2 linked regions of the Medicago truncatula genome follow. The protein of the gene in region 1 interacts with the protein of each later gene in a pairwise test. Links are inferred from orthologs where the notes say so. Each region holds a gene or a part of one and is shown in the gene's direction. Other genes may lie near its edges.

Evidence for each region. The genes of interacting proteins can lie anywhere in the genome.
Region 2: the proteins of actin-related protein 2/3 complex subunit 2A (region 1) and actin-related protein 2/3 complex subunit 4 interact in binary tests that used the Arabidopsis thaliana proteins (3 or more experiments, as listed by UniProt). The link is inferred for Medicago truncatula from reciprocal best matches to the Arabidopsis thaliana genes DIS2 and ARPC4.

What each region holds. Positions count from the first base shown.
Region 1 is NC_053049.1:32,347,566-32,354,761, reverse strand, and holds the start of actin-related protein 2/3 complex subunit 2A, read left to right. Parts: upstream 1-4,187; 5' UTR 4,188-4,208; coding exon 4,209-4,423; intron 4,424-4,515; coding exon 4,516-4,582; intron 4,583-5,220; coding exon 5,221-5,428; intron 5,429-6,767; coding exon 6,768-6,937; intron 6,938-7,196. Other genes in the region: membrane-bound transcription factor site-2 protease homolog, read right to left, coding at 1-79, 161-412. UniProt on the Arabidopsis thaliana protein: Functions as actin-binding component of the Arp2/3 complex which is involved in regulation of actin polymerization and together with an activating nucleation-promoting factor (NPF) mediates the formation of branched actin networks.
Region 2 is NC_053049.1:39,402,729-39,410,403, reverse strand, and holds the start of actin-related protein 2/3 complex subunit 4, read left to right. Parts: upstream 1-4,669; 5' UTR 4,670-4,833; coding exon 4,834-4,836; intron 4,837-4,911; coding exon 4,912-4,980; intron 4,981-5,067; coding exon 5,068-5,120; intron 5,121-5,252; coding exon 5,253-5,280; intron 5,281-5,416; coding exon 5,417-5,491; intron 5,492-6,390; coding exon 6,391-6,495; intron 6,496-7,280; coding exon 7,281-7,370; intron 7,371-7,675. Other genes in the region: TBC1 domain family member 13, read left to right, coding at 1-13, 859-1,038, 1,513-1,629, 2,103-2,264.

The sequences.
Region 1 (7,196 bases):
GCATTTCACTAGCAATACTTCGAACTTTATTACTTTCTCCACATATATTCAAAGCCGTTGCAACCTCCCAAACCAAAATCTAAAACAAAAAACAACAAATCAAATCAAATTGAATAAAAACAAAATAAATTACCAATTACAAACTGATAAAAATTGTTACCAGCGTAACAGCGAGCATAGCAGAAAGTGCGAAACCAAGGCCAATAGAAAACCAGAGTTTAAAAAAGTTGGCATGTTTGCGACCGAATGTGTAGAGAGGTTTATTGAAAGAGATGAATTTGTAATCGCAATAGAAGAAGGAAATAGTGTTGGAGAGATGAGAGGAGGAAGAAGAAGGAGCGTGAAGAGGGAGAAGAGTTCTGCTGTTGGGTTTTTGATGGCTCACGAATCTTCGCATTCGTCTCGTTTCCATCAGGTACAAAATTGTTGTTCCTCCACCACTACGGCGGCACTTTTATCGGTCAAGGGCAAAGTAGTCATTTCTTTTCAATAATTAAATTTATCAAAGCCTAACTGACGAATTATCTAAGATGCAAATTGCCTAAACGAAGTGATGGTGTTTTATTGATGTTGGTGATGTGAATATTAAGATGATGTTAAATTATTTATGGGAGTAAATGTTGATGATGAAATGATTTGTTTGTGTATGGATCATGCATTGTCGAGTTTACATTATCATCATTGTCATTCCTATTTAATGATGGATATTTGATGACGGGTGGATTAATTTGTAATATACCTCCAATTATTTAATGATGGTGGATCGCTCGGTGACATAACTCCGACCTCCAAAACTTGGTACCACATGCATGTAGAGTCAAACTAGAACATTGCATACATATGAACCTATGTGAGACGTGAATTGATTATGAGAATCTATGTGAAGATGTGTACATGACTATGTGTGTTCATGTGGCGTTTGATAAAAGTTCTTTAGATGTTAATTTTGATGCAACTTGTTAGCATATTAAATGATACTTTACTAATGTCAAGTTTTGTAAACATGATCTATATGATAATAATTAATAACTTTCAATACAACGATGAATCTTCTGATAATTATGCGTAAAAAAAATTCAAAAGTGTTGTATATTAAGTTTGACATCAAGAAGCCAATTATCCATATATGTAAATCAAAGATTTGTCATCTGCAAGTAAAATTGGTCTTCTTATATCAAATTAAAATTGAGAGGAAGTTTGTACCAAAAGAAAGTAAATAAGAGAGCTTATATCATTACTATGAAGTATCTTTAGCCTAGTATTTGATCTTCGTGCGCTGGTGACGAAAAAAACGTCGTGCTCTTTAGAGCTATCAAAATGGGTCGGGTCGAATGGGCCGGCCCAAAAGCCCGAATAAAACGTAGGACTTGGACCTAAAAATTGCAGCCCGAATAAATTCAGGATTTTTTAGCCCGGTCCGAAAAAGCTGGTTGCCCATTTAGGCTACGGGCAGCCTGGGAAAAAGAAAAAGTTAAACTATATGGGAGACTACAGAAGTTGCCATAGTGGACGTTAGAGCTTCAAATCCTGTTGTTTTGAAAATATCATTCAAAGATCAAGAAGTTAGAAATCATATTTATCATTCGCAGTGGAAAAAAGGCTTGCTTTTTCTTTCTTAAATTTATTCATGGTATTGATATTTATTGTTTTCTATTTTTATAGACATTAAATATTTAGTGTTAAGTCGTCAAAATATAAGATTTATCCTCTAAAAAAAAAATACAAGTTTTATTTTTCTTCTGTTATATGCTTTATTATTTCAACTCAACATCGCCAATTATGAGTTGTGAAAACAACTGCTGATCATAATACGATGAATATCTTCATCTGATATCTAAGTTTTTTTTGAGTGATTGAGTTTCATTAATTATATAGCTATGTTAATATGCTATGTGTGATTATAAACTGTGTAATTATGTGCATATAGCTATGCAATCTGATCATGTTTTTTTAACTTGTGCAAGTTCGGTTAGTAATTAGGATCATTAAAAGATTTTTTTTTTAAAAAATGTGCGTGCGGGCTGACCCGAGAACCCGTATAGGGCCGGGCTCGGGCTCTATTATTACAACCTGTATTTAAACCAGGATTTTTAACCCGACCCTAAAAATCCTGCAGTCCGTTCGGCCCGAAACGGCCGGGTAGCCCATTTTGACTCGTTGCTTAGTCATAAATTTGAATGGATGTCTTATAGTAGTTTATAATTAAAAAATATCTTTTGATAATTGTTATTTCTATTCAAGTTTATAGCGGTTTGTGATAAGTTAATTCAAATGACTTATAACTTAATAATAAACTACTATAGTTACCTCAATAATATGAAAAAACCAATAATTAACCACAATAATTAACCACTTGTTATCCAATAACTAATAACTATCAATGATTTCAATTTGTTACTAACAAAAATAACACAAATTTGATTTCAATTTGTTTCTAACAAAAATAACACAAATTTATATATATATATATATATATATATATATATATGTAGTAGATTACATATTTTACCCTTAAGCACTTGTAAAAAACAACTGTAAAATTTTAGTGGGTTATGGGCAGTTTAAACTTTTAGCAAGACATTTGTTTTTATATATAGATTTATAGAGTAGATTAAGTGTTAAAAATAATAAAATTTTAAATCATAAAAATTATATTAAATCTATCTAGTTATATAAAAAATAAAAGATAAGTCTTTGTTCACGACAAAATAAATCTATCTAGTTATATAAAAAATAAATTACGAAAATAAAAATACAAAAGCACTGCAAAAACAAACAAAAACAGGTAAATAATAGCACACTAAGTTTTTCTTCACTTTTAAAGGATTTTACTCGGATCAAAATCTATGACCGTTAAATTTTTTATCGACTGTTGTCATTACTGTTTACATTTGGACGTGGATCGCAATCTTATACTATCCAAATTGCTTGTTATCGACGACTGAGAAGACTTCTCATTTTACGCACGCGCGAGTATCAATTATTTCACACAAAAACATAACTAACATTGAAGCCACATGCTCTTCAACCGGAATAGCATGCCAGACAATTGAAAACAATAACAAGAAGAATTTCAACGATGTGAGTTGTTCATTTATGTTATAAAACCTTTTTTAAATATTTATCATATTGTTTTATTTGATATTATTTACATTTACGACGCAACTTCAAACCTGCAAATGACTTGCAAGGTTATTCAAAAATACTAATTGAGTGATGACTTTTCTATTATAAGATTGATGCAAGAGTTGAATTACACCAAATACTTGAAAAATGTGGCTCTACCGTTTATCGGTTTTCTACTCCTCAATTATGAATGTTCAAGGATGTGGCTGGAACTGTTGTGCTAATAATTTTGAAGGTAAAGTTTGAACAAAAGTTGGGTATGTTTTGTAACATGTCAAACTTGCAGCAAGTCCATAAACATTCCACTAGCATGTATGTTTGTGATTTTTTTTATAAACATTTATCTTATTATCTTGTTTGATATTATTTACTAATGGTGCTGCTTCAAACCTGGAAAGGTTATACAAAAATACCACTTGAGTGATTTCATTTCTATTATAAGAATCATGTGTAAAGAGTTGAACTAGATCGTAATTTTTGACGAGGGACAGATTTATTATGAATTTTTATTTCCTTATGAATTTTTTATAATTAATTCGTATCTCGTTTAAAAACTCTAAAAATTCACGAGGAAAGTTCTTATGATGTTATATACATGCTTAGAAAATTAGAGAAAGAAATTTGACCCGTGAGTATACATTTACTCATAACAAAATTGCAATTTCGCACGTTTTGGTTGAAAAATAAAAAAATTAAACATCTTTGAAATGCTACAAAATTTTGCAAATTCTTTTTATGTATTTCTTTAGATGTCTCTGCAAACAATCAATTTAAAATTCAATTTTTAGGTCGGAGTTTTCATCATTTTGTTCTTTGAGTTTTTGACGCTTTATAAATTCATAATTAATTTGTCATTAGTTGAAAAATTCTAAATTTTTGTGTAATGCATATTTCTTTGTTGTAAACATGCCTACAAAAATTATGAAAAAATTCAACCTCTGAGTAGCATTTTTGGACTTCACATATAGTACGTGGTGAATTTCAATAATTAATCTTATTAATAATAAATATAATAATAAAAAATAGAATGAAAAGAAACAAAATATGGTGATGTGATTATTATGATTGAGAAAAATGAATGAATGAAAATCTGTAAGTGGAAGAAAAGAATCGGTCTGGATCTGAGTGAGTGTAATAATACACATAATCATAATCATCATCATCATCAAAAACTGTTGAAACGAAACACGAGAAGAGAAGAGAAGAGAAGAAAGCGGAAAGGGTCAGGATCATCGATGATACTCCTCCAGTCCCATTCTAGATTTCTGCTTCAGACTCTTTTGAATCGCCTTCAAAAGTTAGTTACTAAAACGCATGCGTTTTCATTTCGCTACTCCTTCATTTCAACTGCGTTAATATCTTCTGTTTCTGTTTCTGTTTCTGTTTCAGTATCGAAAAAGGTGTTGAACTCGATCACCACTGGGTTGAATTTGACGATGTCAGATATCACATTCAGGTACTAACAATGTTTGTTAACACGATTATTATTACTATTATCATAAACGCCGTATAGTCAATGTTGTTGAACACCTGCTACACTTATCATGATAAGCGCTTATTTATGTTTATGATATGAACTTGTTTCCATAAACAATTTATTTTGAAGCTTATATAACAAACACTTATAAGCTCTTTCTATAATAGAAGATAAAATTAAGTTAGTTATATTGTTTTAGTATAAACTGTAAGTTGTTTTCATAAGCTATCTTGGAGACAACAGCTTATGAACATGTCACGAGTTTGTTTCCCTTAGTTCTCCTAAATGCATATACTAGTAGATAAACTCAAACAAGTCGATTCAAACATATCATAAATAGTCTATCTCATTAAATAGCGATTTGTTCAAATCCCATTAAGCTCCCTTTTTGAAATGAAAACAGCTTATGGACTTGTCAAAAATTGTTTCCATAAACTCTACCAAACAGTCTCACAATTGAAACATGCCCAAAATGTTGTCAAATAGAGGCGCTATAGAGGAATTTGAATAAACCCCTATTTTATGCGATCCACGATTGACAAACACTGAGTAATGTAGATAATTTGAGTTTGACACTTTTGGGTTGCATATTTGATCAAGCTAAAAAATAATTGTAGGTGTCAATGAAGAATCCTAATATTTTCTTGCTATCTGTATCGTTGCCTACTCCATCTTCGGAAACTATTTTTGTATGTGGACTTCCTTTTGGAGCCATTGAAGCAATCAAAGCTGCATATGGCAGTCTTGTGCAAATTCTTGATCCTCCAAGGGATGGCTTTAACCTCACATTGAAGATAAATCTCTCAAAGGTTCCTGCAAATCAAGGTATATCAGGGTTTTTAGTATAGGATGTTACCGTAACTTTGAATTTCCCTTGCTATGAAAAGTTTTTTCGTCTTTAGCTGAACTTATAGCTTCTGTATTTTCTAATGCATTAAAACTACCGATTAGTAATGCATTTTCATTGCTACAGTATATTCTTTCCACTGTTTTGGTTTCAGGGATTTACATTTGCTATAGATATTAGATAGTATTTCAATATAAATTGATAATTGAAGCACTAAGTTGATATTCTCAATTTTGCATATATGATTTACATGTGCTTTGGATTGTCAATATCTGAGCTTTTTTCTGTTTTAGTTCATAGTAATATTATTTGATGTGTAACCCAGAGATGGATAATGGTTCTTAATTGAAATTGCAGTAGAGATTAATAACTATGTTCAAGTTTCTGTAGTTTCGTTTACATGAAATAAAAGATAGCATTTTTATTCTCAATCAATTTAACTTTTTATCTCTCCAGAGTTTTCTTAACGTTTCTCAGTAAGTAGACCATTTTCCACTTGGTTTGCCTCTTAGTCCCATGGTTCTGCATCTGGTCCAGTAGAACTTCTATTTGAACCAACCACCATTAAAGGAGTCATTGGTCAGTTGAGAAATTGAAAGTCAGCAAATTTCTCATGCCCTACAATGCACCAATTCCTCTGTTGGCATTTGGTGTTCTTGCGTCGCTTGCCTTGAACCCATTCACCGTGAAACCAGTATCATTCTACATGATGGATTGTCCTGCTTTCGTTCCAGCAGTCATCTGTCTCCATCTCCCATTCCTTTTAAGGCATTTGTTCTCTCAGTGAATGCCCTGGTTTATTAAGATGGATTTTGAACCTACTTCCCAAAATTCTTTGAGAAGTCAGAAACCTACATACGGTTTTTCTTTCTCTATTTGTGGAACCCTAACTACTGTAGAAAAGCCAAATGGAAATAACTATTTAGCTTGCTCTTCTTCCCTGTAACTCTGGTTTCTTGGCCAAGGTTTCTATGATTACTCGGAGAGAAAAATCTTAATGAGACTTTTGTTGAAAATCATAGTTTGTGGGATAAACTTGTTTATGAACTCTGTGCTTTGTGTGATGATCTCTTGAACCAAATATTTTTGGCAAATTTCAAAACTTTTAATACTTATCATACTTTTTTTCAAGAAGACTCGACATGTTTTGCTAATAAATCTAAATGCCCAAATTTTTCTTTTCTTCTGGAAACTGTGTTTTTTCATTCTGGTTCGTCACTCCATCTTTGGTTTTATTTAAGAAAGAGAAATTTATAAGTTAAATTATTTTGTTGTTGATGCTGTTCTTTGACAATTGGCGATGTTGATCTTGTGCAGAGCAAAGACAAGCACTTTTGGTAAAAGTAGCATCAGTAAGGGAGGTCGTCCTTGGTGCACCACTAAGGGTAATTTTAAAACACCTTGCTTCTAGAAATGTTGCTCCGGATATGGATCCACTTGTTGCTCTTGTTCATCGACCAAAGGAGTCTTTTTTTGTTTTTCCTCAGGTATGATAGTTGAATATGCAACTTTCTGTTACTGAAACCTTCATCCTTGCTTGGGGTATTTTATTCATATTGTTTTTTGTACTCAAAGAAGTAGTTCAGTAATCCATAACAATCCTAGATGCATGGGTGACTTCCTTTTAGCTTTAATATTGTTCCTTGTCAACTTTTATTTATACAAAATATAAGGGAACTTTAATAACAGAGAGGAGGTTCTATAGAAAAAACAGAATCTAAGAAAGAAAGAGATACCGGAGAGAGA
Region 2 (7,675 bases), about 7.1 Mb from region 1:
CGAAGAAAATGCAGTGAGTATATTATATATTTTTGACTTGTAATCTCTTAGTTCTCAAGTTTATAATCCATCATTGAGAAGAATATTACATATGACCCTGATGTTTTGTTAACCTCTTTTTGTAATGTCTTGTTAACCTCTTTTTGTAATCCATGCTTTGCTAAGTCCACCTGCAGTCTCCTTTACATTTAATTAATTATATTTTTGTTTTTATAATCCTTTTGACTTGTAATCTCTTAGTTCTCAGTTTATAATCCATCATTGAGAAGAATATTACATACGACCCTGATGTTTTGTTAACCTCTTTTTGTAATGTCTTGTTAACCTCTTTTTGTAATCCATGCTTTGCTAAGTCCACCTGTAGTCTCCTTTACATTTAATTAATTATATTTTTGTTGCGTAAAATCTTATTAATTTAAATTACATATTTTCCTAGGAACCTTTAACAATAATTTGTGTAACATTGATTTTGAAATTTCTGTTTAAAAAGTGCTTACCCGTGATAATCAGAAGCACCATATGCATACCTGTAATTCTTTACCTTTTCCACACATAGAATTTCATGTTTTCTGTTTCCTCATTCCACTGGTTGATATTTCCAAGTGTATGCATAAATTGAAGGGGAAGCCATAATGGGGGGTAGAGATGACAGATCAAAATTTAGGTGTGATCAGTATAAAGGTATCATTGCTCACGGGAATTTAGACAAGAAATTTTGCTATGATGTATGATCACGGGAAGGGAATGTGAAGAAAAAATTATTGTTAGTAATAAGGAGTCATGTATGTTTATGGTGCATTTATGTTGTCTTTTATTATTGGTTTATTGTGCTTAACAGCTCCTTATTACAATATGCAGGCCTTCGCCGAAGCTGATGCATTCTTTTGTTTTGTTGAGCTATTGAGTGGGTTGCGAGATAACTTTGTTCAACAACTAGACAATAGTGTTGTGGGAATCCGTTCAACTATTACAAAATTGTCACAGCTTTTAAGAAAACATGATGAAGAGTTGTGGCGTCATCTTGAGATCACTTCCAAAGTAAGAGTTTTTAATATATTGTTACAGTTTTGCTTTTAGTTTACATTTGGAAATATATTGAGTAGGCTGTGCATTTATTTTAAATTATTATATATAGTTTTTGATATAGCTAATTATTTTTTCGTTCGCACATTGTGGTATATACTGTTATGCAATTGATTGTGGTGTTTGTGCACTGCTCCGTTCTATTAAATTTGTTAAATAAACTAACATGGAATATATACAAAAATGCGGGCTCTTTCCTGCTTCATTGCTTTGATGATATTACTTCCTGTGTTAGAATTGTTATTTTGACCATTAGTTTTTGTCTGTTAATACCTTTTTATGTTTATCCATCAATTAAGCAACAGGGAGGGGTAATTAGTCTGTTTACAATTTTGTTTGCATGCTTGCCAAATTATTCAACCATATATTTACTATTGGCTATTAAACAGTGTTTCAGTAATGGCTCACTTTTCTTCTTTTGAATGTCAGATCAATCCCCAATTCTATGCATTTAGGTGGATCACTCTCCTATTGACTCAGGAATTCAATTTTGCTGACAGTCTTCATATTTGGGACACTCTTTTAGGTGACCCAGAGGGTCCACAGGTACAATTTTATTCCAATTTACTTTTTAAATAATTGATTGGCATGTAGCATTTCAGTAATGGCTCATGTTTCTTTGATGGAAATGATAAGTCAGATTGGATTTGAAGTTGCGAAGTTACTTTTAGTGTCAATTTTCTCATACTGGTGTTGATTTTTCATTAGTGTTTCACTTTGCATTGCTACTCTTAATCCACTTTAGAGGATCCCGATTGTGAAGAAAAGATGGAAGATATGGCCATATTATCGGGACATTAGAACACGTTTTTTTTTCCTCATTTTCTTTTGTGCATGTGAGCGTGTTTCGTAAGTCTCCAGTTTTTAGTGACTATTGTTTGCTACTTGAAATTCCTGTCGCTTCTTAAACTGTATATAGAACTGGTGATGGTAGATCAGCAAGTTAATGATTTTGGGTAATGTATGTATCTTTTTTGTTAAAATAACTTAAGTTGGGAAACTGACACAATGTTCTGCAGGAGACTCTTCTCCGGGTGTGTTGTGCAATGCTAATTCTCATTCGCAAGCGCCTCCTAGCGGGTGATTTCACTTCAAATCTCAAGCTGCTACAAAATTACCCCTCGACAAACATTAGCCATTTGCTCTATGTTGCCAATAAGTTTCGTGTACAGTCAGTCTAAGGGTTTTTGTTCCCCGCATTTTTTGCATTTTGCTTTTGTATCTCTAATTTAGTGTTTGAAATCCAATGTTTGTAAATGACTCTAAATTTGAGGCTGTAGCAACTTTTTATTTTTCTCGTACTTTTTAGTTTTTTTTTCCTTCATGTGCCTTCTATCAATTTGTGCTTGGTGAAACATGCGTATATTCACATCTCCCCACTCTTCAAAGAATAATAGTTTGTTTAGACATTGGATCAAATTGTAATGTGAAATTATCAAATAAGTTATATTGGAGTATAGCTATTACGTAGCACACTACTTTGTAATAGTGAGAAGAAAAAAAAACATAAATTGGAGAGGAAAGGCTCTTGTGAATGCCTCTTCCGTGTGAATGAAGTGGCTTCTATTACAATGATATTTAACTAATATTTTAATTAAAGATTTAAATAATATATAAAAAAGTAAAATTGTACTTGCTATAGTTTAAATCTAAGAGTTTTTCTAATTACACCATGTTTAATCCTGGTTGCACTCCAAAATGACAAAATTATCCTTCCATAAAATTAATTTTCAAAAAGCATCTTTTTATCTGGGTTACACCCTAAAATCCCTCTTCAATTTAAGTAGGTCATGTAAACTTAGTTTCAGTAGGTCATATAAACTTAGTTTCAGTGTACATACTTAAACTCAGTTTAAGTAGGTCATGCAAACTTAGTTTCAGTAGGTCATGTAAACTGAGTTTAAGTGTACATACTTAAACTCAGTTTAAGTAAGTCATGCAAACCGAGTTTAAGTGTATTTAAAAGTTCAACCTTGTTCAATGATTCTACGTGATCTCAGTTTAAGTATGTACATGTAAACTTATTTTAACTAGGTCATGTAAACTAAGTTTAAGTGTACATACTTAAACTCAGTTTTAAGTAGATCATGTAAACTCAGTTTATGTAGGTTATGTAAATTGAGTTTAAGTAGATTATCTAAACTAAGTTCACATGAACCTACTTAAACTGAATTTAAGTTAACATCAACAATGTAAAACTGAAACTGTCGTACAGTGCAGTTGAACAAGAAGAATAAAATTGAAACCAGCGTTATTGAAAAAGAAAAAAAAATTCACTTATTTATATACAAGCTAGTATGAATGAAAGATGTTTTGATTCACTCTTTAATCTTCCAAAGAGATTAATTGAACATCAGGATTGTTTGATCGTTGGTGGGTGAAAGAAAGTGAAATTTTAGAGTGACAATGAATGAAATCAAAATTTTAAGAAAATTTATATAAAAGGACAATTTTGGTATTATCAAAAACTTTTTTAAAAAATTAGGTGTAATCAAAAATATATAGAATGTGAATAGAAAAACTCTTAAATCAATGGTATAATTGAAAAGATAAAAAAAGTCGGCCAAAAATCTCTTATGCCTTCTTTTCAATAGATAGTTCTGCTCCAAGTCATACTTTGTACTTTGAATGAATTTTACGATATGATACTAGGTTTTTTATTTTAACAAGTTATGATACTAGTTAGAGACCCGGGGTAAATTTTACTGATTTTGTTTGTATATTTTATTTTAAATACATAAGTAAAAAATAGTTAATTTGAATAATATAAAAAGAGAAATGATATTTATACAACCATTTATTGACAATTCTTTTATATTCATATACTATGTTTTTTTTTTTTTCTCTATTGTTTTTGGCAGTGAAAAAAAAAATGTTGTTACAAAAGTTATTTCAAATGGATGTTTAAATATCATTAATCTATTCATAATTATACCAAACTCGTCTGCTTGAAATATATTTCTTTATCTCTTTGATGAAATTATTCTTAATAGTTTACCGTGTTGCACCTTCTGGTTGCTGACAAATTAATAGTTGTTGATTGGCATATTAATTTTGTTACATATGCATAAATCCTTTGTATATAATGCATTAGTTTTTGGAAAATAAATTTGTTTTTGATTGAAAATATCTATGTAATTTAACGTCTTTTTTAGTATTATAAGTTTTTTTTTATTTGGATTAATCCATGTAACACATAAAAACTGTTGTTTTCAGGCTCTGATGTTATGCATGACACACTATAATAATGCCATATTGCGAAATAAGATGACATTAGAGTTGAAAATCAAGAGGCACCGTGAGTATAGTTCAGTTGGTAGGGTTATGCATTGTTTATTATATGTAGGGGTTGAGGTTTAAATTTCGGACATTCCATTTATTCAGTTTGAAAAAGGTGAATTTCAACCACTAAATAGTTGACAAAAAAAAAATTGAAAATCAAGAAATAAGAAAACTTACATGAATTAGTCTAAAATGATATTTAAATCTACTTTTTTATCTTAATATGAATTTTTGACCAGCGACTTTTATTTGTTTAAAAAAAATGTAAAAAATGATTTTTGTGATTGTGATGAATAAATAATATATAACATAAAGCGGGTAAGACAAAGAAAAGTGTAGTAGCAGGTGAGATTCGTTGATTGATTCGGATCCCTTTTTCCTTTCTATATTTGATTTGATTTGATTTGATTCATTCACTCGCTTAAACCGTACTTCAACTTCTAATTCGTCAGATTCAGACCCAAAGCAATGGTACGATACACACTGAATCTTGTTCTTCATCATCGCAATTTTTCATCTTCTCAATTCATGTGTTTTTGATTTCAGGGTAGCACAACATTACGCTTATACTTAACCTGCATTCGCAACACACTCGATGCTGCTATGTGCCTCCAGGTTCACCAGCTCTGCTTCTTCACACCATTTTCTATATTCATTCATTTTGTTTCCGATCGATCATCAATCCTATTTTCGTAATTGCAGAATTTTCCTTGTCAAGAAGTTGAAAGACATAACAAACCCGAGGTTGAACTCAAGTAAGCATTTTCTCACTTACACCGATTAACATCATTATAGTTACATCGATCAGTGCTTATGCTATGTTTAAGATTTTCACCTAACTAACTTAATTGAATTGACGTTCCCTTTTTTTTTTTTTTTTTTTGCAGGACCAGTCCTGAACTCCTTCTAAATCCTGTAAGACCCCATCTTATATCATATCACTATATCACGTTCATTTACATGTAATCCTTTCTAAATGATGTATGCTTTAAGGAAATTATTATTGTTGCATCAATGCTTCATTGAAAATTTTGTGCTGTTGTTGTTATAGGTTTTGATATGCCGTAACGAGGCTGAAAAATGCTTAATAGAAACCTCTATCAATTCATTAAGGATAAGTCTTAAGGTAAACCTTTTTTCTTGTTTTTTGTCATATGAAATTATTTCTCATCTGAAATTCGTCTCTGCCCTTGTTCATATCATGTATTTATTCATTATAGTCTCACTAAATTGGTCTCTGCAAGTGGCATGTGGCATGTGGCACTAGTCCAAAGATACCCTTAAGGGGTTTCAACATGGTACCTTTCTTTTTAGTATTAGGAGTTAGGACTACTGATCTTAGAAATGTAATTGGGTAAGACCTATATACATGGGATGCAACTGTTGAAATGGGTTTTGTAATGTTTTGCCAGAAAAGTGCGTCTATATTCTATGTAACGGTTACATTCAGCCCCTTTTTTCTTCACTAGAATTGTTTTTTTTAATAGCACCATCATTATTACTATGATATATTTGATAGGAACTGAGTCTGTTGGCAGAGATATATGTGTCTAGTACAATCAGTTTTCAGAGGTCTTCTTAGATGGTGTGTTGAAATCTATCAAGTTATATCCTTTAGTTAAATAAATTCAGATTTGTGAATTTAGATGATAACAGCGCTAATGGTTCATTGATCATACCGGGGTTGAATTATGGTAGAAGAGTTTTTAATATAAGTTTTAGTGATTTAGTCAATTATATAATATTTTGGATACATTCATCCTTTCTTGATGTTTGTTGCATTCTCTCCCGATACAAGAGCATCTTTAAGGCGCCAAAGTAGCAATAAATTGGCTACAAATCTTGTGCTTCAATTAACTTGTGGTGATAATTCACAATTTAATTCTATTAGCAGATAAGCAAACTATATCAAAATTAGAATATGTTAGCAACCTTCAGATTTACTCATGAAGTGCCACTATTCATTGTTAGTTGTCCGTAATTCCTTATTCTTATTTTATTTTATTTTTAATTCATCTTGTGCAGGTGAAGCAGGCTGATGAACTTGAAAACATATTGACGAAAAAATTTCTTAGATTTTTGTCCATGAGAGCTGAGGCTTTCCAAGTACTGAGGAGAAAGCCTGTGCAGGTTTATAGCTCTTGTTTCCTTTTAAAGTCTGGCGATGATTTTTCGATCAAATAAAGTAATGTTTAGATATTGGTGATAGCTAAAATAAAGGTGCAGGGCAGAGGGATAACTTTGTATGAAGTTTCATTGAATCTAGAAAGTAAAAATATTTGTTGAGTTTGCCTCAGATATTGCATGTTTTCGTGATTGTACATGGAATGAATAACTCCTTGTGATTGCCAAGCATAGGCTTACGCATACAACATACTCTATTACTATCAAGTCTCGTCTTGTTCATCTTCTAATTCCTAGTTAACCTTCGATTGAAAAAGTTAGAGAAAACCCTCTTCACACACAATACACTTGACAGGTGAGGAAGTGTCGACTTACCACTAATCCTCGTATTTAATTTATTTTCCCCTTCTACTTTAGCACCATTTTATATACATATGAGTGTCTTTAGAGTAACGGTTCAGGAATCAATGAATATAAAGTTTTTTATGGATCGATTTTCTTTGTAGTTGGTTGTGCTGTGTGTGGGAGTTCATTCTACATAGCCTCAGTTTTCTTATAGTAACATTCGTTGAATTATGACATTGACATTAAATGCTACGTTTTTTTTATAAAATAATTCACTTTTGATTTCTTAACAGGTTCACTTAGTAGTAGTGGTTCGTATTTGTCTTTCTAAATTCACTGTGGTGGATTATTTGCCTTGCTAACAATGTTAGGATTCTTGCTGGACAACCGTTAATGCAAGACATAGCAAATCAGAAAGTCATATTTTTTGTTATTTCTCTTGACAGGGATATGATATTAGCTTCCTTATTACAAATTACCATTGTGAGGAGATGCAGAAGCAAAAACTCATAGATTTTATAGTGCAATTCATGGAGGCAAGAATTTATTGACCCTATAACTTATTTTGCATTTCATTTTGTGGCTTGTACTGATATTTATTGATAGCTATGTGAAATTTTCTGAAATAATATCAGAAGTCCAACCTTTAAAATGTCAATTACCTGAATGCTACAAATAATTAAGTAATATCAAAACTTGTACCCTTTAGAAAACATTACATACCACCATAAAACAAAACGAACAACATTTAGATATTCTTTTATTAGGTTGCAACAATATGTTTCAATTCTCAAGTGGGGTAAGGTGCACTAGGGGCCTGCTTACTGCTTTCCCATTAACA